Xenopus tropicalis: one gene and its partner. The protein of the gene in region 2 binds, or shares a complex with, the protein of the main gene of each other region. Links are inferred from orthologs where the notes say so. Each region holds a gene or a part of one and is shown on either strand. Other genes may lie near its edges.

The links.
Region 1: gtf2f1 (region 2) and polr2f share a complex: the UniProt entries of both Homo sapiens proteins name them as parts of the TBP-based Pol II pre-initiation complex. The link is inferred for Xenopus tropicalis from reciprocal best matches to the Homo sapiens genes GTF2F1 and POLR2F.

The regions. Positions count from the first base shown.
Region 1 is NC_030680.2:122,156,810-122,159,100, forward strand, and holds the end of polr2f (DNA-directed RNA polymerases I, II, and III subunit RPABC2), read left to right. Parts: intron 1-1,081; coding exon 1,082-1,153; intron 1,154-1,535; coding exon 1,536-1,626; 3' UTR 1,627-1,754; downstream 1,755-2,291. UniProt on the Homo sapiens protein: DNA-dependent RNA polymerase catalyzes the transcription of DNA into RNA using the four ribonucleoside triphosphates as substrates.
Region 2 is NC_030679.2:140,874,287-140,878,735, reverse strand, and holds the start of gtf2f1 (general transcription factor IIF subunit 1), read right to left. Parts: upstream 2,875-4,449; 5' UTR 2,283-2,874; coding exon 2,271-2,282; intron 242-2,270; coding exon 195-241; intron 1-194. UniProt on the Homo sapiens protein: TFIIF is a general transcription initiation factor that binds to RNA polymerase II and helps to recruit it to the initiation complex in collaboration with TFIIB. It promotes transcription elongation.

The DNA of each region.
Region 1 (2,291 bases), on a different chromosome or scaffold from region 2:
GACTCGGGTAAATGCAGGCGAGCAATTATCTTCCTTCCTTCTCCTTTTGCAGTAATCCTGGGGCCCATGCATGCGTTAAAGTTTGGCTTTTCACTCTACTACGCATGCAAGAAGGATGAAGAGGAACACTCATTCGCTTACACCCTGGGCGGTGCAGTTTTCTGCTAACAGGAGTACTGGCTGGGGGTTTCTGTTAAGCTAACATTTTGACACCCCCCAGTGATGATGGTGATTTTGGTGATACTATAATACTATGATTATAGGTTATGTAGCACCGCAGTGCTTTACAGAAATTGTGCTTCAGTCACATCAGTTCCTGCTCAGTGGAGCTTACAGTCTAATTTTATCAGAAACCAATTAGTCTCCCTGTATATTTTTTGAGTATAGGAAGAAACCAGAATACCCAGAGAAAACCCACGCAAGCATGTGGGGAACATGTGGACTCCTTGTTTGACTGCAATTTAACATAGGATCCCAGAGCAGCAAAGCAACAGTGTACTGGAATATAGTATAGAAAAAGCTTGTTTTGGTTATAACATAACAAAATAAGATTTCTGTATATATAATATAGCAATATCATTCTCTGGCTACACTATAGTATAGTGAAATCATGTGTGCATTGCACCACTTAAAAGGAGAACAAAAACCCACGTTTTATTGATTCAAGTGCTCTGCTGCTGAGCGTTTAAGTACAGAACACTGGAGTGTTAATGGTTTGTAGTGTCATGGCAGTTTGCTCTCCTTTTGACTGCCAAAGAGCTCTATTAAGTGACTGACAATGGTCGTTTAAGTAATCCTGACAGGTCACACTTCATTTTGGCATGGAGCAGAATAGGACTGTGTAGCAGTGAGTAACCTTCTTTTATTTTCTCAATGAAATTAAGAAGTGCCGGTTTCAGAATTCAGCGCAAACTATGGCTTTAGCTTGTCTTTGAAAGTTGATTTCTTTTTGACCACCTATTTGCTATTGTTGCTCCTGTTCTCAGGTTATGTGAATAAGTCCTTTTATAAAACATTTAGAGAGAGCCTCACTTAGTTCCTACCACCCTCACTCAGTTTTTGTCCTCCTTCTTTAATACAGGATGTGTGCCCCTGTCATGGTGGAGCTTGAAGGAGAAACGGACCCCCTACTTATTGCCATGAAGGAACTTAAGTAAGTTTTTCTCATCTGCCAGAGAATATGTAACTGTCTAACCTCCACCTGACAGAGGCCAGTTGGGTATGCTAAACACGGTTTGCATGAATCTTTGTTTGCAATTTTGAAATACTTTTCAATTTTCATAGTATCTAGCTTTGGTTTATGTTCAGGAACTTCCAATATTGAGAAAATTGAGGTATGACTTAAAACCAACACCAAAAACCCATATTATTATGGAAATGGATATATATTTGCAAATTCTAACTGGCCTCTTTCAAGGCCAGTTTGTGACTGCAAATTCTGAGTTACAACTACTGGGATTCTTTGCAAGCTAACATATAATTGAGGATGCTTGTATATTCTAGTGATCTTCTAAAGTTTCTTTCTGTTCCCACAGAGCCAGAAAGATCCCTATAATCATACGACGTTACCTTCCAGACGGCAGTTATGAGGACTGGGGGGTGGATGAACTCATCATTACCGACTAAGACCTGTCGTCAGTCCTTGACTTTCCAAGCCTGAAATCTTTGACACCAGTTTTATTCTCTTTTGTCTTGTTGTACATAATTGTTTTTTATGTAAATGCTTTATTTAATAAAAACACAAAAGACCCTCACACACAGCTATCTGTTTGCTGATAAATATCTGCTGAAGAAAGAGAGAGCAGGCTAAAAGGAAGGGTTACTTTTTGTAGCAGAGACTGCCTTTAGATAGTAACAAAACTGACAGCCTATAGGCCATTTAGTGACTAGAAAACTTGGGCGACAGGATGAATTCTAAGCTCCATGCAAGGAGAATAGCATGCACCTGTTTGCTTCCAAAAATGTTCAAAACCTCCCCCACCATCTACCTGTTTTTTTTTGGTAGAACAGAGGAGCCATTGTATGCCCATGTCTCTGCACTTGTTGCTATGGAAATGCCCATGGAGGGGACACCTTTCTCAGGAGTATCAAAAACCAGGATGAATCCCACTCTTTGTTTGGCCAAATATGCGCTCGGCTGCTTCTACGTTCCTGCCACACCTGGGGAACAAGCTAGCACTGATCCAGGTGCTACATTACTGATGGCCACTGCCGCTAAATATTCCTCACACTGATATTTCAGCTCAACAGCGCAGACCTTTTAATCTGACTTCTAGTACATCCTTCTGACT
Region 2 (4,449 bases):
AGAGAGAATGCATTGAATATCTATGGAGAAATATCAGGACACTGCACACAGTAAATGGGAAGGATATACTATCTGGGTACAGGGACATCCCAGGTTAAGCATGTATTCTCAGACATATTGATGTTACCAGGCTGGGAGAAGAGAACACAGCTAAGTGCACCCAGATATCCACTAGTAACAGACTGCTTACTTACCTGGGTACACGCACCACATACTCTGTAACAGACTGGCCACTGGTGCCCTGTGGGGAATGAGAATTTCAGTAAATACAGAGATAAAAGAGAAAACAACCATTACTGGATTTGCTCTGGCAGAAAGATATAAGAGTAGCAGGGCCACAGGCTGGGGAAGACGTCTGCTGGTCAATTTGGCACAGGGCTGGGAGACAAGGGGTTAAAGGAATGGGGCTGGGGAAGAAGTCTGCTAGTCAATTTGGCACAGGGCTGGGAGACAAGGGGTTAAAGGAATGGGGCTGGGGAAGAAGTCTGCTGGTCAATTTGGCTCAGGGCTGGGGGACAAGGGGTTAAAGGAATGGGGCTGGGGAAGAAGCCTGCTGGTTATTTTGGCACAAGGCTGGGGGACAAGGGGTTAAAGGAATGGGGCTGGGGAAGAAGTCTGCTGGTCAATTTGGCACAGGGCTGGGGGACAAGGGGTTAAAGGAATGGGGCTGGGGAAAAAGTCTGCTGGTCAATTTGGCACAGGGCTGGGAGACAAGGGGTTAAAGGAATGGGGCTGGGGAAGGGGTCTGCTGGTCAATTTGGCACAGGGCTGGGAGACAAGGGGTTAAAGGAATGGGGCTGGGGAAGATTGTCTGCTGGTCAATTTGGCACAGGGCTGGGAGACAAGGGGTTAAAGGAATGGGGCTGGGGAAGATGTCTGCTGGTCAATTTGGCTCAGGGCTGGGAGACAAGGGGTTAAAGGAATGGGGCTGGGGAAGAAGTTTGTTGGTCAATTTGGCTCAGGGCTGGGGGACAAGGGGTTAAAGGAATGGGGCTGGGGAAGAAGTCTGCTGGTCAATTTGGCACAGGGCTGGGGGACAAGGGGTTAAAGGAATGGGGCTGGGGAAGAAGTCTGCTGGGAGACAAGGGGTTAAAGGAATAAGCATTAGTAATGTCTGTTCTGTTAAAGGAGAAGTAAAGTTACAATCACTGGGTGGGGGGAGCCAAAATATTAGCCCCCCCAGTGATTGTGATCACTTACCTGAAACCCCCAGCCGGTGCTTCTATTGGGAGAAAACTGCCCCAGCCTGGGGTGTATGTGAGCCAGTGTTTCTCTTCCTGCTTCGGTCTTTGCCCACGCGCAGTAGAGTGAGGAGCCGACTAACAATAAAGCTGTCTGTTTCACTCAACTGCCCCGGGATTCAGAATAAAGGAGGAAGAGGAACGCTCTCTCACATATACCCTGGGCCGGGGCAGTTTTCTCCTAACAGCAGCACCAGCCTGGGGTATCAGGTAAGCGATCACTCAGTCATTTAGCCTTTCTTCTCTTTTAAAGGGGACATATTGGATAAATGGGAAAAACCCTAATCCTGTAGGCAATTATGAATAATATACGGTGCTGGTTTCCCTTTGGGCTAAACATTAATCCTATCTGTAACAATGGCCCCTTTATTGGCGCTCCCTATAGATCCTATCACTTCTCTGTCTGTGTTTGAAATGAGGGGTGGGCGTGTCCTAACGGTCCCTGCCAGAAGCACAGTAGGAGGGGAGTAGCCAGTCACAGCCCTGCACTCACACAAGCACAGACAGGCTTCAGTTCCCTATCAGGTCAGCCTAGCTGCTGATTGGTTCCTATATTACAAAGCAGTGTACAGAGTGCCGCCGGCTCCCCTGCACATCCAGAGAATTCAGCCAGCAGAAAGTGGAACAGATGGGCAGGACTAGTGGGGTTTTGGGGGAATATCTCAATAAATCAGTCTGAAACACAACTTTCATACACATTACATTCATCATTTTTATAGGATATGTCTCCTTTAAAAAGTAGCTGGCAGATTGCTAAAGCAAATGGGAAGAAGAGAAGAAGGAAAGAGTGTTACACTCACTTAGATTGTAAGCTCTACGGGGCAGGGACCTCCTTCCTACTGTCTCATACCACATGGCACTTACTCCCCATGTATTTATATTTATTTATTGTATTTATTATAACACTTGCCCTCCCTGTGTGTAATTGTGTATATTGTAAGATTGTACAGCGCTGCGTACCCTTGTGGCACTTTATAAATAAAGTTATACATACATACAGACAAACACAGGTACTTGTACACCACTTACCAGCGACGCCATCGCTTCTCAGGGCAGGTTCCCTTGGGATCTATAAAAGATAGAATTCAATTGTCTCAATACACACACACACAGACAGTTGCATGAAGCGAAGCGATAAGCATTATCCTGCCTCTATGGGGAGGGGCTGGTAAAGTCAGTACAAAGCCAGAATGGTGACCCTATATACAGTACATACTCACTAATGGGGTTATAGTATAGTTACTAGTATAGTATATATATATATATATAGTTAGTTTTCTGTTGGTGAGAGTAGTTTCAAGCCCCCCCCCCCCCAGATATATAGAGATGGGAGAGCTGTAGTTAGACTTGTCCTTGTTTGACTGACCCTTCCCTAAGGCAGTAGCATGATAGGAAGGCAATATAGAATGGAGTTCAGTAGGGAAGGGAAGCATACAGCACAATGACTTTCTATATATAATGATTAATGGCGCAGGTTAGTGGCTGTGCTACAGCCCCGGCTGAATGAAGCACCTGATGGGAGGAAAGTGAGGGCAGGCGTAGGGATATCCCAGTCCCAGCAGCGGAAGGAAAGTGTGAGAGCAGGCGTAGGGATATCCTACACATGAGCCGCTTACACAACACTCTTTCTCTGCCTCACCAACACACACAAGTCTCTCCACTGCAAACTTCCGGTCACCGGCTCCCTGGTACTTCCGGCGCAGCTTCCTGAACGTAGCGCAAGAAAAAAAAGGGAAGTTAGTTGGCGGCGGCCATATTTCATACTGGCAACAGAGGAAGTTCAGCGGCAGTGAATGGGCAAACTTTGACATATTGCTTACCCTGACATTAATTTCATGGGGAGCTCGGAATGCCTCAAATTATATCGCATTGAAGTATTTTAATGTAAAAGTCACTCCCCTCTATCAGAAATGACTTAAACTGGGTACAGGGTGAGGTTGAGTTGGGATTCAATACCCCTTATCTCAACCTGGCTCTCACATTCCATTTGTAAGGTTAAAGGAACAGTAACACCAAAAAATGAAAGAGCTTTAAAGTAATAAAAATATAATGTATTGTAGCCCTGCACTGGTAAAACTGGTGTGTTTGCTACAGTAACACTACTATAATTTATATAATAAGCTGCTGTGTAGCCATGGGGGCAGCCATTCAAGCTGGAAAAAAGGAGAAAAGGCACAGGTTACATAGCAGATAACAGATAAGCTCTGTAGAATACAATAGTGTTTTATCTGTTATCTGCTATGTGCCTGTGCCTTTTCTCCTTTGAATGGCTGCCCCCGTGGCTACATAGCAGCTTATTTATATAAATTATAGTAGACTTTCTGAAGTAAACACACAACTTTTACCAGTGCAGGGCAGCAGCACATTATATTTTAGTTACTTTTATACACTTTCATTTTTTGGTGTTACTGTTCCTTTAAAGGGGAAGTGTGACCCAATATTGTTACACCCATTACTGTCTGTATATGAATGTAACTGTAACCCATCATGTACATAAAAGTGCACAGTGCAATATAACAACAGAGTCCCTTGGATGATTTATGTGCCTATTGGGTTATCCATTCCATCAGGTGGGTAGGAAGGTTGCCTTGTTCTATCCCTATCTGTGGGTTCAGGCAAATGCCAGAGGGGCTGCTGTAAGATGCCATAGTCACTCACTATTTATTGGGCCTATGGGGGGGGGGCTGTTTGGGCCTCTGTATACTGAAAATCAGGCCCAGACTGGCAATCTGTGGGTTCAGGCAAATGCCAGAGGGCTGCTGTAAGATGCCATAGTCAGTCACTATTTATTGGGCCTATGGGGGGGGGGGGCTGTTTGGGCCTCTGTGTACTGAAAATCAGGCCCGGACTGGCAATCTGTGGGTTCAGGCAAATGCCAGAGGGGCTGCTGTAAGGTGCCATAGACACTCACTATTTATTGGGCCTATGGGGGGCTGTTTGGGCCTCTGTATACTGAAAATCAGGCCCGGACTGGCAATCTGTGGGTTCAGGCAAATGCCAGAGGGGCTGCTGTAAGGTGCCATAGACACTCACTATTTATTGGGCCTATGGGGGCTGTTTGGGCCTCTGTGTACTGAAAATCAGGCCTGGACTGGCAATCTGTGGGTTCTGGCAAATGCCAGAGGGGCTGCTGTAAGGTGCCATAGACACTCACTATTTATTGGGCTGCTGGGCGGCTGTTTGGGCCTCTGGGTACTGAAAATCAGGC